4 linked regions of the Diceros bicornis minor genome follow. The protein of the gene in region 2 purifies or fractionates together with the protein of the main gene of each other region. This does not show direct contact. Links are inferred from orthologs where the notes say so. Each region holds a gene or a part of one and is shown on either strand. Other genes may lie near its edges.

What was found.
Region 1: the proteins of GRB2 (region 2) and WIPF3 purify together in Homo sapiens (affinity purification with mass spectrometry; 3 studies listed by BioGRID and IntAct, counting the BioPlex papers as one, with this or other methods). This does not show direct contact. The link is inferred for Diceros bicornis minor from reciprocal best matches to the Homo sapiens genes GRB2 and WIPF3.
Region 3: the proteins of GRB2 (region 2) and SNX18 purify together in Homo sapiens (co-immunoprecipitation; 4 studies listed by BioGRID and IntAct, counting the BioPlex papers as one, with this or other methods). This does not show direct contact. The link is inferred for Diceros bicornis minor from reciprocal best matches to the Homo sapiens genes GRB2 and SNX18.
Region 4: the proteins of GRB2 (region 2) and MYH9 purify together in Homo sapiens (affinity purification with mass spectrometry; 3 studies listed by BioGRID and IntAct, with this or other methods). This does not show direct contact. The link is inferred for Diceros bicornis minor from reciprocal best matches to the Homo sapiens genes GRB2 and MYH9.

Annotation. Positions count from the first base shown.
Region 1 is NC_080742.1:54,225,609-54,233,122, forward strand, and holds the start of WIPF3 (WAS/WASL-interacting protein family member 3), read left to right. Parts: upstream 1-4,504; 5' UTR 4,505-4,650; intron 4,651-7,514. UniProt on the Homo sapiens protein: May be a regulator of cytoskeletal organization. May have a role in spermatogenesis.
Region 2 is NC_080757.1:55,882,645-55,890,194, forward strand, and holds the start of GRB2 (growth factor receptor-bound protein 2), read right to left. Parts: upstream 3,011-7,550; 5' UTR 2,822-3,010; intron 1-2,821. UniProt on the Homo sapiens protein: Non-enzymatic adapter protein that plays a pivotal role in precisely regulated signaling cascades from cell surface receptors to cellular responses, including signaling transduction and gene expression.
Region 3 is NC_080759.1:21,230,751-21,237,997, forward strand, and holds the start of SNX18 (sorting nexin-18), read right to left. Parts: upstream 3,010-7,247; 5' UTR 2,875-3,009; coding exon 1,254-2,874; intron 1-1,253.
Region 4 is NC_080764.1:13,206,082-13,213,339, reverse strand, and holds the start of MYH9 (myosin-9), read right to left. Parts: upstream 3,004-7,258; 5' UTR 2,851-3,003; intron 1-2,850. UniProt on the Homo sapiens protein: Cellular myosin that appears to play a role in cytokinesis, cell shape, and specialized functions such as secretion and capping. Required for cortical actin clearance prior to oocyte exocytosis. Promotes cell motility in conjunction with S100A4.

The sequences.
Region 1 (7,514 bases), on a different chromosome or scaffold from region 2:
TCACCAACACTTGTTGTTTTCCTTTTTTTTAATTATGGTCATCCTAGTGGGTGTGAAGTGGTATTTCATTGTGGTTCCAAGGTTTTCTCTTTAAATGCTAATGATTCTTAAAACTATACTCCTAAGTATTTACCCAAAAGAAATAAAAACATTTATCTACAAAAAGACTTATACATAAATATTCAAAGCAGCTTTTTTTTAACATCTAAAAACTGGAAACAACCCAAACATCCACCAATGGGTGAATGGATAAACAAATATTGGCATATCCATACAATGAAATACTAACCAGCCACAAAAAGGAACCAACTACACATAACACACGGATGAAACTCAAATACGTTATGCCAAGGGAAAAAGCCAGACAGAAAAGAGTATATCATGTATGTTCTAGTATACAGAGCTGTAGAAAAGACAAAACTAATCAACAGTAACAGATTTGTGGCTTCCTGGGGGTAGGGACTGGCTGCAAAGGGGCACAAGGAACTTTTCTGGGTGATTGAAACAGTCTATGTGTTGATAAAGGTGGTGATTACATCAGAGTATACACTTGTTGGCATTCAATAAGCTGTGCAATTATAATAAGTACATTTTATCATATATAAATTACTTCTCAATGAAGTTGATATTAAAAGTTAAAAAAATATATAGACTTTCAAATATACAGCTCAGAACTCCAACCCTGATTTGTTCATTTCTTCCATAACTCAACAAATATGTATTAAATACCTACTATGTGCCAGTTGCTGTGCTGTAAGATAAGGGTATAATGGTGACAGAGATGGTTCCTGAGGTCAAGAATACCACGGTCTGGGGGATGGATGTTAATCAAATCATCAAACGGATAAATGGCATCACTACAACTGTAATAAATGCTGCAATAGAAAGTTACATGGGATTATGAGAGTTTGTAATAGGAGAAGTTGACCTAGTCAAGATCCAGGTAAGTGATGACTGAGTTTAGTTAAGATCTGAAAAATGAAAAGAATTCATTATTGAGATGTTCTCTACAAAGATGGAAGATCACGTGAAAACGGCCTATGACAAGAAAGAATATTACCTGTTCAAGGATTTGAAAGGAAGCCAACATGGCTGGAGTACAGATATTGAGGGGGAGACTGAGCAAGTTGTGCTGGAGACTGTGAGGGCCTTCAGACAAAGCTCATCAGAGCCAAGGGAAATCACTAAACTACAGATAATGGCAGTTTTAAGATCAGCTTTAGGTTTCAAGACAATCTCTCTGACCACATTGTGGAGAATGGTTTGGAAGAGAGAAGCAGCATGTTGCAGAGCGACCAGCTAAGAGGCTACTGTGGAAGTGCTGAGAGAGGTGACCGGCTCTGGTGTCAAGTGGCATTGGTGCAGATGAGTAAACCAGATAGATCAAGAGGCAAAATCCACTGTTGGGAGGAGTGATGAGGGAAAGGGAGCTGAGGAGGTTGCTGGGTGGTCCGACCGGATGAATGGGGAGATGGGCAACTCCAAGAATGGGTCAGGTTTGGGAGAAAGACCATCAGTGTGGTTTCAGACGTGTGGAGTTTGAGGCTTCTGGACCACCAAGCTCTTTCAGACTTTCTTTTCCCTGAAATGGCCTCCCTTCCCCAGTTTCTCACAGAGGAAACTCCAGTTCATCCATGGAAGCCCAGCTCAGGTATTACTGCCTCCCTCCTTCCCCACACCAGACAGAGCTCATCATTTCTTTTCCTGTATTACCTCTCTAACCAAGACAAACTCCTTTCTTACATGGAACTGTGATACTCTGTTTACAAGTTTGTGTCCTCTACTAAGTTGTTAGCTCTCTGGAGGCAGGGCTGTGAATTCATTTTTGCACCCCCAGAACCAGTACATTATCACCAACTAATAGCTGCTCTATAAATATTTGAGGAATTGATGTGGATACACGTATAAAACATTTAAGAGTTCTATAGTGCCTTTCTCCTGAAGAGCTCAATAAGCCACAGCAGATATAAATACTTGTTTACAAGTAGGTGTGAAAGGTGAGCTATTGCAGGCATTTTGTGGGCAGTGGGAGGAGAAGAGATGTTAGCCCTTTACCAGGTCACTGTATCAGTTAGGAGTATATTTGGCTGCAAGGAATAGAAAACCCAGTCTCAGTGGCTTAAACAAACAAGGGCTATTTTTCCTACATAACGAAAAGTTCAGAGGTAGGCTGTTGCTGGCTTTGGTGGAATGTCCAGGAGTACCACTTTGACTCTATCTCCCACTCTGTCATTCTGATTCTATTGGCTTTTTGGCCTCATGTTCATTGTCTCTTGGTTGCAATCTGGTTGCAGCCTCACTGGGCATCTCATTCGTGTTCAAGGCATAAAGAAAGTGGGAAATAGAAGGGCAGAGCCAGGAAAAGATTTCTCAGAAGCTCTCGAGCCAACTCCCTCTTTCAACTCATTAGCCAGAACTGGGTCAATGACTTCCTTAGCTGCAAGAAAGCCTGGGAAATCAGGAATGGGATTGTCATGGTAGTCTTACATCAATTCTGATCCTCGGTTCTATTAATAGGGAAGAAAAGGAGAATGGTTTGGCTATTGGGGAAGGCAACTCACACTATCTGCCACCAAACAAATATTGTCCAACTGTGCTGTCCTACAGTTATATATATAGGTGGGAATGAATCCTTTCTAATGTCTCTAGAAACAAGACACCAATGGCAGAGTTACTTCATATGAATGTGAGACATTGGGCCCCCGAGGCTTCCAGCCCCCAATGTCCCCAGTTTCCAAATAGTTGCCTCACTCATCATTTTCCCCATCCCTTTCAACCAGAAGCATTTTTTCACAAATTATTTGATCCAAGCCAGCACATATCTATCCCTTAAGATAAATAACAGCATTTCCATCAACTAGCTCCTGCTCTGGCCACTCAGCAGAAGACCTGATGGGATCTCTCTGGGCTCATGGAAATGTCTTCTCTACTAATTTATCTTTTCTTCCTTTTTGTATTAGAATACTAGCAGTCATATGTTTAATGAAAACAAGCATTAGGAGTCCAGAGAAGGAGAATGTCTGGGTAATGTTTCAGATTTTTTATTTTTTAGTAGCGATCAAATGCAAAATGTTTTGTGAGTTTTGGTTTGAGCACAGTTTTTCAGATTTCATGCCCATGATCATTTATTACAGTTCCAAAGGAGGAAAGGGCAGGAGGAACACAGGACAAACAGGTGGGAAGCAAGTACCTTGTTGGCTTCCACTGGCTACATGTATACCTTTCTTTGCCTAAACAAAACAGAGACACAGGAGTGGAAGGCATCAGGAGTGAATTCTTTATCCTTGCTATAAATACAAGCCTACACATTGTCAGGCTATAAACATGAGTAATTAAGAAACCAGCTAAGGGCTGCTTGAAGAACATATTTTGATAGCAGCTGCTACAAAATTTGAACCTGGAGACAGGTTGCAATCCGTGTGTGAGAGCCTCCCTGCTGGCATTAACTGCTCCCTCGCCCGTGTTCCCGTGCAATTCATACAAGCGTTGGCATAGCCCTGAGCACAGGTCCCTCCTCCACTCCAGACCAGTAGCTCCTTTAGCGTTAGAGACACTGCCTCCCTCACCAGCATACGCTAAGGGCCCTGCAGAGTGCCTGGCTCATAGCAGATGCTCAAACTCGGCAGGGCTGAGTGAATGGTCCATGAGTATCCTCTTAGCTCCTCCACTAGCAGGAACACCCAGGTCATGGGAGATACGGAATCCTCACCAAACGATTACTGCGCTTAGAGGAATAAATCCGGCCTCAGACATAAACTTTCTGCATCCTCCAAGGGGCCTCAACGGGAAGTGTGACGGGGATTTGTTGGCTAAGCCAGGTTCTTCCAGCTCCTCAAACTTATTTCAGTTTATTTCAGTTTTCAAACACAGTCTGCTTCCTCTCAGCTTCGCCTGCACCTGAAACAATCTACTTCCCCAAGCCGTCTGGATAATTCACGCTCATCCTTCAGTTCTCCTAGACATCAGCGCCTCGAGAAGCCTTCCCTGACCTCCCCCAAGTCTGGATCAGGTGCCCCCTCTATGACCACTCCCTCTTGGTTCTGGATTGTAATTGCCCATTAGTTGGTTTCCCTTTCTAGACCGTGAACTCTGCGAGGGCAAGAGACGATCTTGTTTTCTCTTCTGTTCCCACCGTTTATAACGCCGCCCGGAGCATAGGAAGGATTCAAAATATTTTGGAATAAACTGATGAAGGAGTGGAGTGTCCCCAGAGTGGCAGTGCTGGGCCCTGTGTCATCCACACCACAGCCCCTCCTATCTGGGGAACTGCAGCCTTAGGCCCCACTCTCCCGGCAGCTCAGACTTGGGACTCTGGCCCGGAGAGGCGCGCCCCGCGGCGAGGACCCGCCTCCCGGGTGCCAGAGCGACCCCGCCCGCCCGGGCCGCGTCCCTGCGCGCCGGGCTGCGGCGGCTCCGGGGCAGGAGCCGACGGAGCAGGTGGGGGCGGCAGCCCCGCCTCCGCGTCCCGGCAGCACCAGAGCTGGCGGCCGGGGAGCGAGCCGGGCGCACCGAGCGCAGCACAGAACAGAGGGCGGCACGGCGCCGCTGGGAGCACGGGTGCTGCGGGACGGAGCCCGGAGCCGGGAGGCGGCGGCGGGGACGTCGGCCGGAGCCCCAGTCCTGTCCGCCCCCCAACACGGCCAGCGGCAGGTAGCGGCTCCGTGCGCGGGTCCGGGTCCGTGCCCGAGGGTGGGGGACGGGCTGTCGCGGCGGCCGCTCGGGCTGTCCCGGGGCGGAGTGGCCCCCGGCGGGGACGGGGGTGCTGCGCGCGTGCCCTAGTCCCGGACCCCCGCCTGGGACAGGCGTCGAGGCGCTGCGCTGCCCTAGCGCCCGCCACCCGCTCCCCGCCGCGCCGCGCCTCCCAGGCCCGGCCTTAACGGGACCGCGGAGGGACCGAGGTCACTGCGGGGTTGCCTGGACCCGACTCTCCAGTGAGCGGCCCCGGGCGCCAGGGCCGCCCGGGCCTGTCCTTGGCGAAGCAATCCCTTCCTCCCTTCGCCGCTTCACCCCCAGAACAAAAGGCTGGGGTCTCCCTGAGGAGGGGGCTGTCGCGGGAAGGGCTGGGGCGGAGTAAAGAAGGGCTAGGAAATTGTTGAGCTGGAGGTGGCTTTGGGGATACAGAAGCAGCCTCCAAAGACGAAGCCAATCCCGGAGATGTGAAGTGACTTGCCCAAGGTCACACAGCTCGTGGTGACCGAGCAGGGGCCAGAGCGCAGCTCTCCGGACTCCCTCCCAGTGCTCATCTCCAAGCCCCTGAGGTCAGTGGTCTGACTGTGCTCCAGCGACTTAAATCTGGCCACAAACGGGCTCTGAAGTCCTTTGGAGGAGTGGAGGAGAAGATGGCAGTGTCTGTCCTCCCCCTCCCCCAATACACCCCGGCGGCGGCGTTGTCGGGGGCGGGCAGGGGGCGGAGGGAGAGCAGGGTCGGGGGAGCGAGCGCCCGAGATCTCGCCCCGTGGGCGGGCAGGCACTGGCTCGCAGGAACAGTGCCTTCTGAGCGGAGAGTGCCAGCCGCTGGATGTGCGGCGGCGGGAGCGGGGGCGGCCTGGGGACCCAGTGTGCGCCGCTCTCTGGAAAGAAGTTCTGCGGGGAGAGGCCGGGGAGAGCTGTTCCCCGCGCGCCAGACGCACCAGCAGCATCCCTGACACTGGGGATGTTTTGGGACAGGCTGCATTTGGAAGGAAAATTACTCTGAAGCAGAAGTGGGCTGTCACTTCGCCTCTCTGAGACTTGGGTCATTGGCTGCAAAATGAGGGCCTTGTTCGGCATGACCCGTGTGATTTACAAAGTTCTTACCCCTCTCCTCCTTTCCAGAATCTTTTATCTCTTCCGAGGGAGGATTGGAAGTACATTTCTTGTCAGTAGTAGTAATCACTAGGACTCCAGTTTTCCCTGAAAATTTTTTTTAACTTTAGGCAGAGCTAATCATGGCAACAGAGGTTAGAAGAGGAGTTGCCTTTGGGCCTCATAATGACCTGAACAGGGCCTGAGGGAGGCTTCGGGGGTGCTGGAAATGCTCCCCACCTTGACCTAAGTAGTGGTTACAGAGGTGTACACATTTAGAAATTTATGAAGTTATTCCCTTGAGATTTGTGCGCTTGATCTATGTAAGTTGTACCTCAATAAAAAAGTAAATAAAACTTGAATGCTAAAAATCCACTTCACTGGGGTAACACGCAGATTAGTCCAGTTTTCCAGCCGGTGCATTTTAGAGATACATTCAAAAACCAAATGAGGGGGAAAAAAAGGATATGGGAGCAAAAGAAAATTGAGAAATAACTGAAAATGAAACAAATATATACTGCAAAGGGCTTTACCAAATGCTTTTATGTGCATCACCTCATATGATTCACAGTGGTTCTTTAAGGGAGATATTGTTATTGGGCCTTTTTTACAGATGAGAAAATAAAAGGTCACAGAGGTTAAATGCCTTACTCAGGGGAGCCAGAGTTAAAAACCTGGGTACACAGACTTCAAATTCTATACACGCAATTATAAACAGGTGGTTTTTGGCTGCCTGAGTGAAGGTAGAGCCATCAGGGTGACAGAGAATGGAGGGCTGGCTTCCTGCCGTGCCACCTTTTTGTTCCTTTCCAGGAGTCTCTGTTGTTTTCATATAATTGTGAGTGTGAGATTATGTCACAGACTGAAGTTAGCCAGCAGCAGAAGGGATGGAGGAAGTGTGTGTGTCTAAGAACACACAGTTTTAGGAACAGGAGAAAGCCAGCTGGCCCAGCCTGGCAACACTCTTTGTAGGAGGTTTATTGTTCAGAAACCATATAGTACAGGTTGTGATTTTGCAGTCACTTAAAACACACACACAAAGAATAAATCATATAACCTAGAAAAGATCTGAGAAACCCAAATGTAATTAACTCTAGAGGAGAATATGTAAAATTTCCACCAGGGAGGAACAGTCAACTTTCCTGCATTCTAGAATTTATAAATATATGTTCATTAACACCTAAGTAAAAAATAAATAAATAAATAAATAAAACCTACAAAAATAACTTGGCAGAAGGAAACAAATTTGTTTTCTAGCAAATGTGTTATAAATATACGTTAAATTTGGTGCAGAAATATTTGAAACTTTAGGGTACAGTCACGTTATCTTTAGAGAGAAATCTTGAGAAATTTGTCCTACTGTGTGATCTTCTGGTGATTTTATACTTCTGCCTCAAATTCAGAACTTAGAGAAGTAGAAACATGTTCGTTTTACCTGCCAGTTTCACATTTGCAGAGTTGAATGTTTGTCTTATTCTTGGAATGATAAAGATTTGGTTTAAAGAATGTGGGTTAAGTGGGGCAACAAAAGAGGTGTCTCCCGGTGAACCCGCTCAGCAGAGTGCCATCAAGCATGATGAAGCATCACGAAGTTATCTTTAGGCGAGTTTTGCCTTGTCACAGTAGTGTTCCTGCCATCTGGCTGCTGGAATAGTTAGAAAGGAATCGTAATGTTTGACTGACTTTGCTGATAGCATGACAAAACAAACTTTGAGAGGGAGCTGTTAAAT
Region 2 (7,550 bases):
TAATGCACTACAATGTCTTTGCATAAAATGAAAATAATGCATATTCACTTGGCACAACTGGGAAAAAACGAACTTTGACACATAAAACCACGACTCTCAACGGCCATTCAGTAGTCCCAGAAAGTTCTTCTTCTTCTTCTTTTTTTTGAGGAAGATTGGCCCTGCGCTAACATTTGTTGCCAATCCTCCATTTTTTTCTTTTTTTTCCCTCCCCAAAGCCCCAGTACGTAGTTCTGTATCACAGTTGTAGATGTGTAGCTCTTCTATAGGGGCCCCGCCTCAGCACGGCTTGATGAGTGATGAGCAGGTCTGTGCCCAGGATCTGAACCCGCCAACCCTGGGCCGGCAAAGCGGAACGTGCGAACTTAACCGCTACGCCACCAGGCTGGGCCCTGGAAAGTTCTTCTGAATTATGCAAGTAACTATTAATTTCTCTCAGGAGAGCATAGTGGGTCTCTATTCTGTATTACTTCATTTCTTCAAAGTCCTTTACTCTTCTGCTCTAGCTAACAATTAGAACTGTTGCTGCACAACATGCAACATGATAACAGGAATTACTGAGAAAAATCTCTAAGTACCATCAACTAGTAGTATTTAAAACCTAGTAATCCCTCAAACCTGAATAGACAAGCTGAGCAAGTAAACTGCCTCAAGTATTTAAATGCTTGCTTTTAGTATCAAAGAAAGCCGATTACAAGAATTAACTCCTTTTTTTTGTTTTAGGATTCGGAAAATTCTGAACAAGAAAAGGGGCAACAAAACAAATATTTTATTATTTGTTAATTCTTTATGTCAAAAAAATCTGACAACCATAACAAAGAAGGCTGATTATAACAGATGTAGGAAAAGATGTCTGATTTAAAAAAAGCCTAGTAGGGCCGGCCCCGTGGCTTGGCGGTTAAGTGCGCGCGCTCCCCTACTGGCGGCCCGGGTTTGGATCCCGGGCGCACACCGACGCACGGCTTCTCCGGCCATGCTGAGGCCGCGCCCCACATACAGCAACTAGAAGGATGTGCAACTACGACATACGACCATCTACTGGGGCTTTGTGTGTGTGGGGGGGGGGGATTGGCAATAGATGTTAGCTCAGAGCCAGTCTTCCTCTGCTAAAAGAGGAGGATTGGCACAGATGTTACCTCAGGGCTGATGTTTCTCACCAAAAAAAAAAAAAGAATAACCCTTATCTTTAAAAAATAAATAAATAAAATATAAATAAATAAAGCCTAGTAAAAAATAATTAGTACTATTACCATAGGCAAGCTTTAATTTATTAATGGTCTAAATAAATTCTATTCCCTTAAATGTTTCATGTTATCTTAACTCTATTGTAATATAGGTCTGTGATTGGTTTTCATTTTTTAACGTTAACCACCCCCACTAAAAGCCAAAAAGAAGTCACACAAGCCCCCAACTGACCCAATCTTCCTTACTAACATAAAAGTGATATAGAAAGAAAAGCATAAGCAGGCACAAAAGCATGATCTTAAAGTGAAGAAAAACTAAAACACAAATAACACAAGCAAGCTGCACTTGTGACCTAGTGGCAGTATTGATTACTTACGGATGAATTCAATCCTTTGAGCCTCCCAGTTCCCAGGGGGAGAACTTAAGTCTCGCATGGCTCTCTAGCAACCCTTCTGGCTGACTGAAGGAACACAGTGGACGCTTAAAAATAAAGGATAAAGCAGGAAAGAGGGTATCTTCCCGGGACAGAAAACGGAATCTAATTGAGGGAGAAAACGAACTGCGCCAAAGAGCAGAAACCTTGAAAAATTATGCCAGAAAGGGGACAATAAGGAGGAAGGGGAAGTAGATTAGAAAAAAGCTGGGGGAGGGGGCAAATGACTTGCATTATACCAATAAGCATTTAGTGTCCGCAGTAGAACGGAGAGAACTAGATAGAAAGAAAAGGCAACAACTGGAGAAGTACTAAGTGAAAAGACGGACAAAACAGACATGCTAAACAGACTAATGCCAATTTCTCTCACTGTGTCTTTTCGACTGTTTTCTGAGTCAGCTACCAAAAAACAGACCTCGAGTGCACTTCAGCTCCTCTGCAAACTGTCCTTTTATAGCATCTGAAGACAACCTGGAATAACTAGCTGTAACTCATATGGCTTACAATCATATATATGGAGAGCGCTGCAAACGAAAAAAAACCCGTGCTTCTCTCTCCTCTCTCACTAAACTCTTTCCTCGGAGCATTTCAACCAAGTGCTGCTTATTTTTCTTGACAAATATTTTTCAGCGAGTAGTTCAAAAGGAGCGACAGAAGTAAAGGCATCGCGAATGGCTCCAGTAGCAAACGTTCTAACTCACTGTATTAACAGGGTTGGTGGGTGTCTTCCCAAAATTCGGCCCAGACACCAGGAGATGGTGACGTGGTGGCCGTGGAGGTCGAAGGAGCATCAAGCAACACACTTGCAGCCCGCCGCGAATCCCCCGCCTCCCGGGCCGAGTCAGACTGACTCACAGAATGAGTACCCCGTGCTCTCGGGCTTCTCCCGGGCCCGTTCTGCGCAAATCCTCATGAAAAAGCCGCGGAATTTAACTAGGAGCCCCCGGCCTCTTGCCCCGGAGTCCGGGGCTCTGCCTCCAGCCAAAGGCCGGGAGAGGACAGTCCCCAGGAAGGAAGCGCCCCAAAAGGGGAAACGTGGAGCCCGGAGCCCCGGGGATTCCGCTCCCCGCCCCGGCCTCGCCACCCCGAACCCCAGGCACGGCGGCCTCGGCAGGCTGGGCCCAGTCCCCCCGGGCCGACTCCCGCCGCGGAGCGGGGAGGAAAAGGCACCGGAGCAGCGCCGACGCCGCCGTCCGCACTCACCGTGGCGCAGCTGCTCTGCTCCGCACCGGCTGGCCCTTCCGCAGCGGTGCGAGCGGCTGCCGACCCCACTACTGCTCCCCGAGGGCAGCGCCTGTTCCCGCCGCCGTCACCGCCACAGCCGTCGTCACAGCCACTGCTGCTACCGCCGCCGCCGCCTCCCGGTAGCCGAAACAGGACAGTCTCCCCGCTTCCGCTCCTCGTCAGGGTCTCGCGAGAACTTCCCCGCGCGGCCCCGCCCCGCCCCGCCCCCACGAGACTTCCCCCGGCGGAAAAGGCCTAGAGCGCAAGCGCTCCTCCTCGGCCGGGCCCCCGCAGGTAGAGACTATCTAGGTGCCACGGCGCATGCGCCAGACCGCCCCGCAGCAGGTGGCACCGGCATGGCTCCGCCCCCTGGGTCGCTGCAACCCGGTCGGTGCCGGAGCAAATAAATTACAGCTCAGCCCAGAAGTAACTGTTATGCACGTACTAATCACTCACTTCCCTTTCCCTTCCGCCAAACCAAGGCAATTTAGGGGAGGAGAGAGGGGAGTCTCCAGCACGAAGCACTCCAAATAGAAGACTAGGTCTTGAAATATTTGAGAATCCTGTCCAAACTCTGCAGTGTTAGATGAGTTAACAGATTCGTTCCCTCGTTGATTTAATCAAGTGTCGAATGCATGCTAAGCACTGAGCAAGGTATAGCAGGTACAACGACGAACAGAAATCCTGGCCCTCAAGGAATTCACCGTCTAGAAAATTGGCAGAAATGTAAACAACGCCATAAGTACTGTTAGAATTACTTGGGGAATGCTCAAGAAGCTAAAAGGAATGCTAAGGAAGCTAAAAGGCGGGGAGAGGGGTCGCCACTCTGCCCATCTCAGAAAAGCCTTCCCAGAGAAGGTGATGTGGTAATGTCTGAGCCGAGTCTTGGAGGATGAGTAGGAGTTCGCCAGACAGAGAAGGCGGGGTAAGGGCATTCCAGGCGAAGGGAACGGCACGCAGGTACAAAGGAAGGGAGGCGTGAGAGAGAATCGTGTTCTGTACAATGCTAAGTAGTTCGATTCCTGTACTAGGCGGGGTGAGTACGGGGGAGTGGCAGAAGATGAGGCTTGGAGAAGTAACTTTTATTTTTCGGTTCCAAAATCTCTTTCCAATTGAAGGAGAGAACAAAATGCATCTAATGGTAATGTGCTCTCTGGAAGCCAACAAAATAGTCAGGGAGATGAGGATAACCAAACACCTGATTCTATAGAGAAAACAAGCCCATTGAAAAAGGAAAATTAATTGTTCTTTCACCAAAGATTTATTGAGCATCAACTGCACTCGAGGCGCTATGCAGGATAACAGATGAACACGACAAAGCCTCAGCTTTCAGCAGTTTGTAATCTAGAGCAGAGTTGCCTAGTCTGCAAGGCAAAACAGTTGGCCCTAGTGCCATTGAACTATATATAGGACTGCAGAGGAGGGAGCCAGTTACTTGGTGCTCAGGTAATCAGGGAGAACTTGGTGTTTGAACTGCAACGTGAAAGCAGAGAGGAAAGAGTGACGGAATCAGCCAATATTTCAGATTGGAGAGAATTTAGGATTTAGGGGGAGGAGTAATGAGAGACAAGGCCAAGATGTATGGCTTAAGTTTCATTTTCAAGTGATATGAAACCTCTGAAGATTTCTGAGCAGTAGATGTCTGATATGAGGTGAAAATAACAAGAGGACCAATCTGTTTACCACCTGATGTGTACTAAAGTCATAGTGTTTCTACAGGGTGGATAATGTCCCCATTTTACAGACTCAGAAACTGAGGCTTAGAGTGGTTAGTAACTTACCCAAGGAAACCCAAATATAGTAGACTTGAGATTTAAAGCTAGGCCTGTCTTGTTCTAAAACCCATTTTTTCCCCCACTATGATACTTTATTCTAGAATGGTAGCCAGATTAAAAAAAAAAGAAAGAAATGAAAGGGAAGACTTAGCTGCTGAGCAGAGAGGAGGAGGAAATGAAGGAAGAATTGCAGCTCCCTGCTTCAAGTGGGGAGAACAACAGAGAAATTTGCCAGTCAAGAGGAGCAGCTGACTGGGCGGGGGAGAGGGAGGTGATGAGGTACAGGGAAGAGGCAGGTAAGGATGATGCCCCAGTTTTGGAAATGTAGAGTTCATTGTTTCAGGAGACATGCAGGTGGAAATATCCAGTGTGCTGTTGAAAATCCCAATGCCTTCATTAGTCCTCTTCACAACATTAACTGGGCGTCTACTCTGTAGATGGCAGGATAACGCATCACAGAGCTTGCAGCCTAAAGGACACGACATACCTTCGAGAGTATGACACTCGCAGTGATGGCAGCTTTGGGAGCATATAGCAGGGGACCTGACCCAGTCTGGTTCAGGGAAGGCTGAGGAGAGAGGTTTAAGCTGAGACCCTGGTTAGCCTGAGAGGAAAAGAGTTCTCCGGAGAGAGTACAGCATGTGCACAGGCCATAAAGTAAGAGAGAACTCAAGGAAGCCATAAACTAGGGTCTTGATTCTATGGGATACTGAAGCAGGGCTGGGGAGGTGGGGGCGGGGGTAGGGGGAGAATGACACACAGTCAGATTTTCATCTTCAAAATAGGTATCACTCTGGCTGCAGAGTGGAAAATCAGTTGGAACTAAGATATTTATCATCTACAAAATAAGATCTCAAGTCCTTTGCAAGATCCTTATGGATCTGGCCCTTGCCTGCCAACCCCACCCTCTCAGTCTCCAGCCAACACACTCCACCAATACCAAACCACTGTGGTTTCCAGAAGGTGCCATGATCTTTTGAGTGCCCGTATCTTTGCACATGCAGTTTCCTCTGCTCAGTTGGCCTTCTTCCCTTTCTTTAGGCCCCCAAGTCAGTTTTAGGGTTTCTTCCTCAAAATTTCCACTGTACCTCCAATCTCATTGCAGCATTATCATTTGTGTGTGTTTTTGTGTCCCCCCACCCCCACCCCAATGCTCTACAAGCTCCCAGACAAACAGGACCACGCCTTTTTACATTTGTATTCCCAGCTCCCAGCACAGTGCATGGAGTGAATAAATGGATGGATGGATGAATAAATAAGAGGTTCACTAGAGAGGAAGATGTGGCTGCTTTTCTGTGCAATGTGATATTTAAAGCTAAGGAAGTGGGTGAGATCTCAGAAGAGACTAGATGCCTAGAGAAAAGGAAAAAAAAATGCACTTCCTTTTAAAATGCAGCATTGATAAAACAGACTCTGAGTATGTCTGTGTAAAAATATATGCATATGGACTAGATTTGGAAGGGAACATTTAAGAGTAAAAATAATTGTGTTGAAATGAAGCAATTGTGGGTGACAAAAAAAATTCAACATTTGTTACATTGTCTTTTCAATAAAAAATTCTTTTCTACAGACACAGACTCAGAAACTTAAAAGAACGCTGCCCAAGATCATTCCACGCAGAGGAAAAAAACACACTAGAGGCAGTAGTGTTTTGAATGTATGTGTGATTAGTGTTAAATAGTGAAAAGAAATTGGAATGAGGCAAATTGTGAAGTAAAAGTCACACTCAGGTGTGAAAACCTGCTGTAACTGTAGCAAAACTTGCTGATTACAACCTGGCCACATCAGTCACTTCAGAATGCAAAAATTAATGACAAAAAAAAAAAATCCATCTTTTCGGTTGGGGTTTGCAGTTATTTTTAGTCGTCGGAAAGAGTTTCTTGCTTTGCCTTCTGTGAGTTGTGATGCTGCCACCTGCCGTTAAGAACTGGACATTGCCTGGCATTTACTGAACCTTGAAAGTCCCTAGGAAACTGGCCTGACAGTTAACCCCCTCCGGTAGGAGCAGCCTCCAGACCATCTCAGGTGCATCCTCTGAGCCCACATTTCTGAGCTTCTCTTTAGTGGGAAAATATCAGACAGCCAGTGACAACTTAAACTTGGTCATTGAAATTCTCCCACCAGCTCTAAGTTTTCATCTTAGAATTTCCTTTGCTCAAGTTGTAAGTCAAAGCTGCATACACCTCTCAGGCCTCGAGGGTGGCCTCTGACGCTGAGCCTACTAAGGGGACCCCAAGTCTTGTGACTTCGCTTCCTCCACCTCCTGACTCTATTTCCATCATTTGACGTGGTCCATGACACCATCCTTCCTGGAGGGATGCTCTGGCCTGCTTACTTATCATCCTGCCCTCTTCCAAGTCAATATCTACATTGCGGCTGGAGTGGGCTTTCTTTTTTTTCTTTTTTTTTTTGCGAGGAAGATCAGCCCTGAGCTAACATCCATGCCAATCCTCCTCTTTTTGCTGAGGAAGGCCGGCTGTGAGCTAACATCTATTGCCAATCCTCTTCCTTTTTTTCCCTTTTTCTCCCCAAAGCCCCGGTAGATAGTTGTATGTCATAGTTGCACATCCTTCTAGTTGCTGTATGTGGGACCCGGCCTCAGCATGGCCGGAGAAGCGGTGTGTCGGTGCGCGCGCCCGGGATCCCAACCCGGGCCACCAGTAGCGGAGCGCCCACACGTAATCGCTAAGCCACGGGGCGGACAGGAGTGGGCTTTCTTAAATACAAATTGAATCAAGGGGTCACAGATAAGGTCCAAAGTCCTTAGCATGCTCCACATGGCCCTCCATGGCCAGCCGCTGCCAACAAGTCCAGCCTCAATGCTCAGCCACGTTCCTTTGAACTCTTGTCTCCACTCTTCTGAATGACTTGCAGTTTCCTAAATAACTACAATTCTCTCACCTCTGAGTTTTTGTACTTAATGCTCCTTTGGG
Region 3 (7,247 bases), on a different chromosome or scaffold from region 2:
AGGAAGCGAGACTGCTGTCTCCCAAGGGCTGAGGGCTGACATGTGGATGAGAAAGAGACTTACTTTGTGTGGTTCCACGAAACAATCAAGAGAGGCAAATTTTAGTTCAATACAAGGAAGAATATGTTGAATATCAAGGTTGTTCACATGGACTGGGCCACCTGGAAAGGCAGTGAGCACCTCTTCCCCGAAGGCCGGGCCTGATGACCCGAGAAGGTTTCCACCATCGAGGGAGGTTAAATTAGGTGACTCTCCTTCCTCCTCACCCCCACACTGCACAGAAGACATCCACAGACAGGACTCCTCCCTAACTCCAACACCTCCCCATTCTCTCTCACTCAAGGCATTCTCTCAGAACGCAAACTCTTTAGTAAAGTCAGCACACGCATTACTTCCCTAATTTACAAGAAAATAATATGCAAATTGGAGTGCTTTAACAAAAATCAGAGACATTAACAACTACTAATAAAGCAAGCTCTGACGGTCGTGCAGCCAACTCACTGGGATACCAGAAACACTGCTCTCAGACACAGTCCTCAGATTCTGTACATTCTATGTAGCTTCTCCACGTCATTTTCCTAAATAATATTCTTAATTTCAGGCGGTTAACAGACTCTTGACTCAAAATGACTGAGCTTAAAGAGATTTTCTTAAAACTTCCTGAAATTAGAGTCTTTTACCTCATTTTATGAAAGTGGCAAGCAAGAAGCCTGTGCCAGAAGTCCTTAAACTGCCCCAGCTCGTACCTGTGAGAGCTGATCCTAATTCCTCCACCAAAACAGGGATTGAGAGGCGTTGGGGGGGTGAAAGCAGCCTTACCTTTATTTGCAAATTCTGTGCTTCCCCATTATCTCTATGCTGCCTGAAACCCATGGCTAAGCGACATTGCAGTGTTCAAATGAATGCCTAACACGGTTTGGGTCCCTTCTAATTCCACACTGGATACAAGATTACAGATCCCAGAAGCTCATTACCCAACTATTCAAACTCTAAAATGATAGCACTGTCATAAAAAGTACTCTCAGAACCTTCTCTGAAGAGACCCACTCCCTGTCTGGCAATACTCTGAGTTGGAAGCTACCTGCCCACAATCCACCGTGCCCTCGGGGAAACCGCCTAGCCATCCGCATCCCTATTCGATTCCCGACCTGCAGGATATTAATCTGAAACAGATAACGGTATTTCTGTGAGAGTCATCCCCTCCAGCCTGAACAACACATTCCATACCATCTGCTCTAAAGACCAGGCTTTACCTTTCTGAACATGGATGATGTCTGGGAAGTTGGCCAGGTGCCCCTGATACAGCGCTAACAGGTCCATGACAGGGTCCAGGTCCTGCCTGGGCTGATCGGCGAAGAGCTCGCCGATGGCGTCGTAGGCATCTCCGGTGAAGGCGATGGCCTGGTTCAGGCCGGCCGAGAAGGCCTGCTGGTCCAGCTCAAACGCCTGGCTCAGGCCGCGGAAGGACTGGCCCACCTTCTGATACTCCTTCTTGAAGCCGGTCACCTGCTTGCGCGCGAACTCGTTGGCGGTGTGGTTGAGCTGCAGCGCGCTGTCGTCCATCTTCTTGGTGAAGCACTTGAAGCCGTCGATCTTGCTCTCCACCTCCTGCAGGTCGAGGGCGGCGGCGGGGGGCGTGCTCAGGGTCAGGAAGAAGTTGGCGCCCACCATCTCGTCCTTCTCGGCTTTCCTCTTGCCCTGTTTCCAGGCCTTCTCGTCGGTGCTGCTGGGGCACGTCAGGAAGTGCTGGAAGACGTCGCACTGCGCCAGCACCGGGTGGCTGGCCATGTGGTTCATCCACCAGATCAGGCCCTTCCTGCGCTTGGAGATGAAGTCCTCCTCGAAGCGGCCGGTGGCCTGCTTCTCAGGCAGGTGGGGCACGGAGATGACGGGGAACTTCTCGGCCAGGCGCGCGTACAGCCAGTCGAAGTGCTTGTAGCGCCGGTGCACCGGCACCTGCGTGTGCGTGGGCACCAGCTTGTAGGAGATGTAGCTCTTCATGCCCTTGAACTTGGTCTGCTTGGTGGGGTCGTCGATGGTGCACTGGAAGGGGTAGGGGTTCTCCTGCCACTCAGGGCCGTAGGGCCCCAGCACCACGCACAGCTTGTCCCCGTCCTTCACGAAGCCCGACGCCTCGCCGAGCACAAATGCCTCCCCGCCCGACTTGACGAAGGTGGAGAAGCGGTTGAGGTTGCGGCTCACGGTGGCCGAGCTCTTGGCCCCCGACGGGTGGTGCTGCGGGGCCGCCGAGCCTCCACGGGAGCCCAGCGACAGGTCGGAGCGCGTGGACAGGCGGTAGCGGCCGGCCACGCCGCCCCCCGACGACGAGCCATCGAGGTCCGGGTACGCGCCGCTCCCCAGCGCGCCCGGCTCGTCGGCCACCGTCGAGCTGTCGTCCCACTCGTCGTCCCAGTCATCGTCGCTGCCCTGGCTGGCCTGGTAGCCGCCGCCGTAGAGCTGCTGCGGCGACGGCTGCAGGGCGCCCCCGCCGTACGAGAAGCCCGCGCCCGGCGGCTGGAAGGTGCTCGGCGGCGGCGCCTGCTGCGGCTGCAGCAGCGGCTGGAAGGCGTCGGACGGCGGCTTGAAGGAGGCGGGCGGCACGGCGGGCAAGGGCTCGAAGCCGCCGGGCGGCACGTTGGCGTACCGGGCCGGGGCGCCCGGGCCGCCGTCGCCCGCCGGGCTGGGCTCGGGGGCGCGGATCACTTGCACGTACGAGGCCGGGAAGAGACCGCGGTCGCCGCGGCTGTTGACCCCCTCGAGCCAGCCCTCGATGTCCTGCTCGCTGCACAAGCTCAGCACCTCGTGCTCCCGCAGCGAGATCTCGCCCGGGTTCTCCGACCTGAAGTCGTACAGCGCCCGGGCGCGCAGCGCCATGGTCCCGGCGCCCCGGCTGGCAGCCCCCGACTCCCGGTGCCCCGAGCCCAGGGCCCGGCCGAGGGGCTCGCGCTGGTGCCCGCGCCCTAGCGCGCGGAGAGGAGCCCCGAAGGCAGCGCGCACTCCCGCGCCCCCGCCCGCCGATCGCGCCCTCCGCGCCGCTCCGCTCCCAGCACCGACTGCCGCGCCGGGCCGCCGCTGCTGCCGCCGCCGCCGCCGGCCGGGGGCGGGGCCCGCCGCCTCCCACGTCCCCAGCTGCGCTAATCCACGGCCGAGAGCCGCGCGCCAGGCGAGAGCAAGCGATGGCCGAGCCGCCGCGCCCTCCTCCCGGTCCGACTCCGCAGTCCCCACTGCCCCCTCGTGGCCAGTGCCCCGCAGTGAGGCTCCGGAGTGAGAGCTCCGGGCGAAGGTTTACTACTCAGAAGTGAGTTTTCTGCGGATTTTTTAGGCTTTTAAGTTAAAAAACGTATCCTAGAAAGTGAATTAATATTTGCATTCCTGATAAACGCTCCCACTCTGGGCGCTGAGTGAATGCTCCTAGAATGACTTAACCCACGCATCTAACAAAGGATTTTCAATGAATATTACCGATTGCACTAAGACAGACAGAATGCCTGTGCTCAGGCCCATACGCTGATGGAGCAGCTCCTCATCTTCTACCCATTGGAGGCTTTTGGCAAGAAGGGGAGGGGAGTGATAAGAGCAGAGTAAGGAAGGTGCTGTATTTGACAAATTAGGAGGCTAAGGATGGTGTGGGAAGGGAGACTCTGGAGAGTTTACAATAAAATATGTGCGCACACAGAGCTAGCATGTTGCATGTGTCCCTTCTCCTTCCTAAGACGTGTGTACTGCAGTGAATGAGAGCCTAGACTTCCAAGCCAGGCTGCAGGGTTCGAATCTACCTTCTGACAGTATCTAGCTGGATAACCTCGAGCAAGTCCCTTATTGTACCTACCTCCTAGGGTTATTGTGAGGATTCGATAATAATGTAATCCCTATTAACAGATGAGGAAAATGAAACAGAGATTAATATAGGGCAAACACTATATGTGGTAAGCACAGATGAAGTGTTTGCTGTTATTGTTATTTTGGAAAGCAAAAATCCCTTCCTTCTTCATAAAGAGAATAGGGATCCTAAAATGACAATCCTAGGTTGTATGCACCAGGAAGGGTCCCAACGCTCACATCCTACTGCTAGTCTCTGTCTACCCCTCTCCATACACATGGAGTGCCCACCCCCCTCCAGGCATCTCTGTCTCACTATGTTTATATTATTTTTAAGGTAAGTAGGTAAAAAAATCACTTCCTGAAATATTAATCAACTCCAATTTCCTTCCAACAGTTGCCTGGTTGCACATCTTCTTTTCTTTCAGCGTATAATTTGCCCAAAGCTTTTTCTTTGCATAATCCCCTCTTACTAAGTGTAGCCTAATTATTCCTTTGAAGAAACCTCTAACTGGGATTTAGCATTCATATGTCATTAATTTCAGCCTGTCCTCTGACCCTTTTTAAGCAAATCTGGGAAACGAGCCAGAAGAGTATACAGTTATTGTAAGGGCTGTGGTATTTTAAGCATCCTGCACAAAACCTCCAGGCCAGTATACCAGAATTAGTCCCACAGTGTTTATCCCTAACGCAAAACCTTAATTCAATTCGGTAAGCACATCCGAATTACAACATTTGTAGCTGAAAATTCTGGGTTAAGACAATTCTCACAGTAAGCAACAGAGGTCATTGAATTTCACTGTCAACAATTTATGTGGTCAGAAACATGAAATCAACCTCTACAAAACATCTAGAATACACTTTATTTTACTTATTAACCCATGAGAAGCTAACCTAGAATATTTAAGATAAATACATTTAGTTTCATCCATACTATTCATCTGGTACTTTTTAGGTTAAAGAGTTCAAGTAACATGAAACTTGCAGTGCTTCAGGCTTTGAAACAGGGAGACTAAAAATCCAGTTCAGGTGTGAAAATTCCAGGCGTTGGAGGTGACGACATTTACAGAGGGGTTGGGCTGCTCCATAGACGCAGTGCTTGAGGAACTATCGGGTTTCGGAAGTTGTTTGCAGCACCAGTGCACAAGCGAGCATTCCACCTGTGGGAGTCGAGTGGCAGGCCAGGCATCAAGCTTTGTGAAGGACGGAGGCAGGCTCATGGTGCCCGGCTCTCTGACATCTGACTGGCAGGAAAAACCCTACCCCTTAAGGATCTTCTATATTTAGAAAATGTGCTCAAGTATTAGAAACTTATAACTGTTCACTCAGGGAAGTAGATACAGTAATACATTTTTTAAAGATTTCCCTAGAAAATGGAGCACATTATTCATAATTTAGTTTACACAGTCATCATTATAACCATCAACTATTTCTGTCATTATGCTTTTGTAAAAACAAGTCATTAGGGGACATTAAATGGCCCCAAACAATTGTGTTTTCACACTTCTTCCCTTGGTCTGCAAGGCCTTAGGTGGCCTGCCTCTCTTTCCATCACTCACTTCCACTAGAGAGAAACCACAAGGGTTTCTTTGCTATTTCTGGAACAAGCCAAGCACGTTTGTGCCTTGGATTTTTTTTTTAATAGACTATTTTTTTAGGGCAGTTTTAGATTCACAGCAAATTTGGGCAGAAGGTACAGAGATTTTCCATATACTTGCTCACCACACACATGCATAGCCTCCTCCACTATCAACATCCCCCACCAGAGTGATACATTTGTTACAACTGATGAACCTACATTGACACATCATTATCATCCAAAGTCCATAGTTTGTATTAGGATTCACTCTTGGTATTATACCTTCTATGGGTTTGTACAATTGTATAATGACATGTGTCTACCATTATCGTCTCATACAGAATAATTTCACTACCCTAAAACTCCTCTGTACTCCGACTATTCATCCCTCCCTCCCTCCCCTAACCCCTGGCAAAAACTGATCTTTTTACTGTCTCCATAGTTTTGCCTTTTCCAGAATGTCATATAGTTGGAAGTATGGAGTATGTCGCCTTTTCAAATTGGCTTCTTTCACTTAGTAATATGCATTCAAGTTTCTTCCATGTATTTTCATAGCTTGATAGCTCATTTCTTTTTAGGGCTGAATAATATTCCATTGCCTGGATGTACCATAGTTTGTTTATCCAACCAAAAAGGAAATCTTGGTTGCTTCCAGGTTTGGGCAGTTATGAATAAAGCTGCTATAAACACCCTTGTGCAGGTTTTTGTGTGGATATAAGTTATCACCTCCTTTGGGTAAATACCAAGGAGTGTGATTACTAAATTGTATAGTAAGAGTATGTTTAGTTTCACAAGACGCTGCCAACGGTCTTCCAAAGTGGCTGTACCACTTTGCATTCTCGCCAGCAATGAACGAGAGTCTCTGTTGCTCCACATCCTCACTCATTTGGTGTTGTCAAAGTTCCAGATATTGGCCATTCTAATGAGTGCATAGTGGTATCTCATTATTGTTTTAATTCGCATTTTCCTGGTGACATATGATGTGGAGCATCTTTTTTTGTTGTTGAAGTATAGTTGACATACAATATTGTGTTAGTTTCAAGTGTATAACATAGACTCTTATTTATTTACATTTATCGACATTTATTTACCTTACAAAATGATCACCCTGATAAGACTAGTAACCATGTGTCATCATACAATGTTATTACAATATTGTTGACTACATTCCCTGTACCATACATTACATCCACAAGACATTTATTTTATGGCTAGAAGTAAGTATCTCTTATCCCCTTCACCTATTTCATCCATCTACTTCCCTCCCTCCCCTCTGGCAACCACCAATTTTTTCTCTGTATCTATGAGTTTGTTTTGTTTTGTTTGTTCATTTTGTTTTTTTTAGATTCCACACATAAGTGAAATCATACAGTATTATTCTTCCTCTGTCTGGCTTATTTCACTTAGCATAATACCCCCTAGATCCATTCATATTGTCACAAATGGGAGGATTTCGTTCTCTTTTATGGCTGAATAATATTCCATTATGTATAAATCACATCTTCTCTATCCATTGGCTATTGTAAATAATGCAGCAATGGACATAGAGGTGCTTATATCTTTTCAAATTTGTTTTTGTTTTCTTCGGATAAATACCAAGAGATGGTGTTCCTGGATTGTGTGGTAATTCTATTTTTAATTTTTTGAGGAATCTCCATACTGTTTTCTATAGTGGAGCATGTTTTAATGTGCTTATTTGCCATCTGTATATCTTCTTCAGTGAGGTGTCTGTTAAGGTCTTGGGCCCATCTTTAAATAGAGTTATTATTGTTGAGTTTTAAGAATTGTTTTGTATGTTTTGGATAATAGTCCTTTATCAGATGTGTCTTTTGCAAATATTGCTCCCAGT
Region 4 (7,258 bases), on a different chromosome or scaffold from region 2:
AACAACAGCCAACCCCTCCTCTCCTTTTGAAATAAAGATGTCAAGCTGGTAAGGGCTGTCTTAAGTACTTTACTGAAGGATTAGCTAGAAGAGGAAGTGAAGAAAACACAGTCCGCCTGGTTTCTAGCAATACCCTACCAGGCTACATAACAATGCTGCATTTTTTGAGTGTGCTTTTCTCCTTTTAAAAAGCTAACAGATCCTTGTTTTGTTTTTTCTGGAGCAAGAGGCAAAAGCCAGGCTGTGATTAACATGCATCCTTCATCCTGCAAGAGGGAAGTTGTCTCATCTCCAACCCCTTAGGTTAAAAGCTTAAAAATAAAAAACAGGGGCCGGCCGAGTGGCGCAAGCGGTTAAGTGCGCGCGCTCCGCTGCGGCGGCCCGGGGTTCGCTGGTTCGGATCCCGGGCGCGCACCGACGCACTGCTTGGTAAGCCATGCTGTGGCGGCGTCCCATATAAAGTGGAGGAAGATAGGCACCGATGTTAGCCCAGGGCCGTCTTCCTCAGCAAAAAAAAAAAAGAGGAGGATTGGCGGATGTTAGCTCAGGGCTGATCTCCTCACAAAAAAAAATAAATAAATAAAATTAAAAAAAATAAATAAAAAACAGAAGTCAGGGCCCTGACCCTCTCTTTCGTCTACTCTTATGTGCCCTTCAGACCGGCAGCCCCACAGAATACACCTCTCGGGCTGCCATTCCCCAAACAGAGCCTGCCAATCCGGGCACCTAGATCTGCCCACAGGCACTGCCAGGACTTGCTGGATGTGAATGGTAGAGCTTTCTGGTGTCACTCCGGCGGCTCTCAAATTACAACGAGCAATCTCTTGACGCTTTTAATTACCACTCAGTTAACCACTAAATGAGTCCTCACTTTCCAACACCAAATGCTTGCCTCAGTTTACCAAAGCTGCAACGTGCTCCTTCCTCGAGGCAGCTTCCCTCCTAGCCCCAGACAGAAATGGCCCCTCGGAATTCCTCGAGTCCTTTGTCTGTGGCATGCTTGGGACACTCATCACAGGCTGTCTTTGTATTTCAGTCATTCGGCCACTATTTCCCCTTGAGGACTGTAAACTCCCCTCCAGGAGAAGGCCTGGGGGATCTCCGAAAGATAGGCTGGCTCCCTTCTCCCAATCCCCATGACTCACAGTACCTTTCTGGGGTCTCTGTCATCTTTGCCTCACATTAGAGTCATCTACAGATTTGTCTCAGCTCTGCCCTAGGTGCCAGAGGGCAGGGGCCAGGTCTTACTCAACCTTACACCCCCACCCCCACCACCTGGTAGAGTCCCTGCCACACAGAAGCCAGTTAAATATTTGCTCGATTACACATCTGCGTACCCTCCCCCCACCCCCAGCAGCCTTGTATATAAATTGACTAATATTAATCGAGCGATTGTCTCAACAGGCCTTAAAGCAGCCTCCCTCCTTACCAAAAAGGGAATAAACCACTCAGGGAGGTTATCAGGCCAGGCTCAGACAGTGGAGTCAGAAATGGCCACAGTGTTGCAGGAAGGAGCTAAAGCTCTCTTCCCCTTCAACAGCTACTCAACGGTTACTTTGAAATCTTGTTAAACTCAGCAAAGGGTGCAGTGAACCACGAAGCCGCTGAGCCTCTCGATTGCCCAGAGGAGAGAGCCGCCTGTCTCCAGGACCTGGGACTTCCCAGGAACCTTCTCCCCACACCGGCTGGGTGCGGCCGCGACAGCAGCCCCGGCAGTCACCCAGCCCCCACCTCAACACAGCAGGCAACCTCGTCCTGGAGGGTACTCCGTTTCTGTTTGAAACAACGCGGCTCTGAAGGGATGGGAGGGGTGTGCGGTCCTGCCCTGGGCGTGGCCCCAGGACAGCATGGGGTGAGGACCCCTACACAGGAAGTAGGGGAGGGGGGCATAGAAAACCCGGGATCTAGCCCAGACAGGAACGACGCATAGCCCCGGCCTGGCCCTAAAGGAGCAGAGCCCAGCTGCCCCCGCCCCCGCCCGGTGGGCGGCCCGCAGGTGCGGCGGGATCAGGTGCGCGTCCGGACCACGCAGACGTCTGCGGGCATTCCCGGGCCTCGCTCTCCCGGGGAACAGAAGTCCAAAGACAAAGGTTGAGGGGCTGGGGGGGGTCTTTCCTGCCTCGCGGCCCGGTACCCGCCGGGTCCCCCTGCCCCATGCACCCACCGCACCTCTCCGCGTCCCCTCCTCCGCCCCACTGCTCGCAGCCGGGCGAATGAGGAAGTCGGGAGCGCAGGGCGGAAACTGAGCCGAGCGCAATGTCTGCTGCAGGATTGTCCGCTTCTGAGTCAGGAGGACGCCCTGACAACTGCCAAACGGTCCCCGCCTGCCCGTTACCTCCGTTTCGAAAATGCCTGGAAACTTCCAAAGGAGCCGCTGCCCCGAGCCCCCCACCTTACCCTCACCCGTGCGGCCGGGTCCAAGGGACAGAGGCTCCCCGGAAGGGGTTAAAAAGTTTGCCCAACTTGGGCACTGGGCGAGGCGAGGGCGGGGCGCGCGCCCGGCAGCAGGGGGAGGTCGAGGCTCCGGGTGCCCCGCCGCGGAGTGCGCCGGGCGAGGGGAGATGGAGGGTTTCCGGGGGCGCCCGGCCCCGAAGCCTCCCTCTGCTCCCCGAGGGCCTGCTTCCAGCGGCGCCTTCCCCGAGCGTCCGCGCGGGGGTCCCGGTGCCCCCAAGGGAAGGATGCAGTGCCGGGCCGACCCCGCGGCGTTCGCTCCCGCCCACGCCGGTCGCCCGCCGCGCCGAGGCCGAGAACCACACGCTGGCCTTCGCGCCCCAGACGCCGCGCGTCCCGTCGCCGCCGCCCCGCCCGCCCGCCCGCCCCGGGCGGGACCGGCCAGTGGGGCTCGCTCACCTGAACCTGGATCTGCCCCGGGGAACAGGCGCTGCTTCTCCCGAGAGGGCTTTCTCGAGCGCTCGGGCGACGGCGGGGTGGGGCGAGCGCGCGAGGCGGGAGCTGCAGCAGGTCAGCCTGGCTCAGCCTTTCGTGCCCTGCCCAGGAACCGCGGTGATCTGCGCGCCTCACCGCACCCAGCTCCCCTCCTCGCCGCCTTCCCGCCCCGCCCTCGAAGCCGCCCGCCCATTCCCAGCCCGGCGCCGGCTCCGGGGAGGAGCCTGGAGGAAAGACCCCGCCCCTCTGGCTGTTTCACCCACTCCGGCCCGCTCCTGGTCTTGATGGACAGACATCTTGACCTGTGGGATGGGGTAGGCGGAGCCTCTGGGCCAGAGGGGTGGGGACTTGCCCTCCCCATCCGCCCCACCTCCACCCTCTCCACCTTCCCCCCCGCTTCCTAGGCGGGAGGCCCGCCCCCTAGGGCGGGCCCAACGAACAGCCAGGTTTCAGGAGGGGGATTGACATAGAGGGAGTCCAATCAGGATGAGGAGGCTCGCAGAGGCCTCCGGCCCGGGATTTTGGGGCGTTGCCTGCACCGGTGCGAGGCCGGGCCGGAGGAGACGGGGGAGGTCCCGGGTTGACGCCCCGCCCCGCAAGCTGTTTTCCCTGTCCCAAGACATCCTACCAGAAGAACAGATATTAAGTACCATATATGGGAAAAGTGCTATTTTACATAATTATGATGGCCTGCGGGGGCGGATATGAACTCAGCCCGGATCCGTTGCGGGCGCCCTGAGTTCGGTTTCTGACCATCTCTTTAGAGTGGGCACGCTGCTGTCTTATAGGATCCAGACCTTTGCTCGGAGGGGTTCCCTCTGCCTGGAGCGCCCTTCCAAACCTCTCTTCACCTCCACGTGGTTAACTTGCACCCTTCCTTTCAGATTTTGTTACAAAATGTTTAATTGGGTTTGTTTGGGGTTTTTTGGTTACTGCCCGCTACGAAAAGATAGAAATTTTTAAAAAATTTTTCACACTTATCTTTTAATCCATCTGGAATTTATGTTGATTTTGGAGTGAGGAAGAAATCTAATGTAATTTTTGTAATAGCCAGGTGTACACACACCATTTTCTCTGCTGACTTCAGGTACCACCTTCCTCACCTTTTGAGCTCTTATATATGCTTGGATCTGTTTCTGAGCTGTATCCATTGATCTCTGTGTGTTCCTGTGCCAGTTCCACAATACTTTCATGATGATAGCTTTATAATACATTTTATATCCAAGAGGGCAAATTTCTCATTACTCTTTCCTTTTGGAATGTTCTTCCTATCATGACTAAACTATTCTTCCAAAGGAACTTCAGAAAAAGTTTATGATCAAAAGAACACTGGAAAAAAGATTTTGCAACTCTGTGACAAAGAATTACTATCAACAGTATATAAAGGGCTCTTTTCGGTCCATGAGAAAAACCCCAAATACTCCAAAATAAAAATGACGAAAAAAGGAACAGGCAATTAAAAACGAAGAAATATAAATCCCCAATAATTATGAAAAGATTGATCTGAAATGCAAACAAAACAACATGGGATACCGTTCTTCACCTATCAAATTAAAAAAAGAATAAAAATGCCCACACAGATGGGAAAGTAAATTGATCAATTCTCCCTAAGAATTCATCATAAAAAAATAACTGGAGGGGCCGGCCCTGTGCGCGGTTAAGTGCGCGCTCCACTGCTGGCTGCCCAGGTTCAGATCCCGGTGCGCACGGATGCATCGCTTGTCAGGCCATGCTGTGGCAGCGTCCCATATAAAGTAGAGGAAGATGGGCACAGATATTAGCCCAGGGCCGGTCTTCCTCAGCAAAAAAACAGGAGGATTGGCATGGATGTTAGCTCAGGGCTGATCTTCCTCACACAAAAAAAATAATAATAATTGGAAAAGTGTACAGATATGGGTTAAAAAGTTCTTTGCAACATTGTTTATAGTCATTTAATATTAGAAATAAATGTACAATATAAGAGATTGATTGAATAAATTTTGATAGATCCATGTGTTGAAAAATACCCAGAAAGTGATTAAAATTTTTATGTAGATTTGTATTTACTGATTTAAAATATACTGAGGAAGAGCAAATTATAGAATGCTAATACTGCAGGATTTCATTTATTTTTATGCAATGTTTGTACGTGTGTGGGTGCCTGACGTGTGTGTGTATGTGTGTGTACGTGTGTGTTTCAGAGAGAGAGAGGCAATGAGGTTTAAAAGACATTATATCAAAGTGTAAATAGAGGTTATGTCTTGGTAGAAGGATTGTGACTGATTTTTTCTTTTGCTTATCTGTTTCTAACACATATATCACTTGCATAATTTTTCCAAAATGGAAGAAAAAGACTCACTTCGATGTCACCGCTTCCAAAAATCTTCCATGACACTCCAGGCCAGTTAGGTGTCCCTCCTCTGTGTTCCCACATCATCTTGCGTTTATCTCTCGCATAGCACTTACACACTGGATTATAATTGTCCATTTACTTGCTGTTTCCTCTGCCGAGGCTAGAAGCTGCCTAAGGGCAGACAGAGGCTGTGTCTTCTTTGCCTCTGTGGACTGAGAACTAACACAAGGCTTGGCATAAAATGATCCTGAGTGAATGCTTGAGCAGGACTCAGACAGCATCTGTTTCCTTATCTGTAAAATGGGTATAATCGCTGGGCCTTGCCCAACCCGCATGACTGTTGGGAAGAACACAGGAGACGTGGACCTGAAAGTGTTTTGTAAACTACAAAGCAGTGTGCACTTACAACAGAGCGTTATTGATAATGATCATTTCCATTTTCCTCACACCCCCAGATTCCTAGCACCACCCTCTCTAGGAAACTGAGGTCACTAAGAAGATGGAAGGCCTCTGTCAGCTGGCGCTGAATTCTCTCCTCCCCATCCACCAGCCTAGATGCTTCCCTAACTAAGGAAGTGTTCCCACTTGCTGTCCAGCCTAACGCCTCCTCTATCTTCCAAGACCTGCACCCTTGATAGTGTCTACTCTTGTAATAGTTTAGAAAAAATTTCATCCGTTTTTTCTGGGTCTTAACATGGTGTCATGGTTGGTATGGAAAATGCTAAAAAGAAAGAAAATAAAAATCACCCATAACCTAACCACCTCAATATATCAACTATTAACAAACCTTGTTATTTTCTTCAAATCTTTATACATACACACACAGTTAAAATGAAATTGAGAGAGCTACATATATATGGTCACCTGATTTATTACAAAGGTGCCACTACAAATAAGTGGGAAAAGATGGTCGTTTTAATAAATGGTGCTGGGTCAATTGCATATCCACATGTGGAAACGTGAATCTTGACTCCTACACTCACACCATTGCCAGAAATAGTTTAGGATGGATCAGAGACCTAAATGTGAAAAGTAAACAATCAAACTTCCAGAAGAAAGCATAGGAGAGTATCTTCATGACCTTGAAGTAGGCAAAATTTCTTAAACAAGACACAAAAAGTATAAACCACAGGAAAAGATTGCTAAATTGAACTTCATTAAAATTAAGAATTTCTGTTCATCAAAAGATACATTTAAGAGAGTGAAAAATCAAACCACAGACTGGGAAAAAATATTTACAATATATTTACTATATATATATATATATATATAAACAAAGGAGGTATAACCAGAATTTATCAAGAATATCTATGTTAAGAAAAAAACTGAAAGGGCCGGCCCCGTGGCTTGGCACGCTCTGCTACTGGTGGCCCAGGTTCGGACCACTGGCACGCACCGACGCACCGCTTGTCCGGCCGTGCTGAGGCGGCGTCCCACATACAGCAACTAGAAGGATGTACGACTACGACATACAACTATCTACTGGGGCTTCCGGGAGAAAAAAAAAGGAGGAGGATTGGCAATAGATGTTAGCTCAGGGCCAGTCTTCCTCAGCAAAAAGAGGAGGATTTGCATGGATGTTAGCTCAGGGCTGATCTTCCTCACAAAAAAAAAAAGAAAAGAAAAAAACTGACAACCCAATTTTTTTTTAATGGGCAAAGATTTGAATGGGCACTACATAAAAGAGGATATCTAATTAGCCAGTAAGCAAATGACAAGGTACTAAACATCATTAGTTATCACAGAATGCAAATTAAAACCACAATGAGATAGCACTATCCCCAACAGAATGACTGAAATTAAGATACCAAGTGTTGGCAGGGATTGGGAGCTACTGCAATTCTCATAAATTGCTTGTGGGAGTATAAGTTTCTACAACCACTTTGGGAAAGTGTTTGCCTGTATCTACTACAGTTGAATATACATGTATACCCTATGATCCAGCAATTCCATTCTTAAGTATATCCGCAACAGAAATGAGTGCTTAAACCCAACAAAGACATGTACAAAAATGATCATAGCAGCTTAACATAGCCAAAG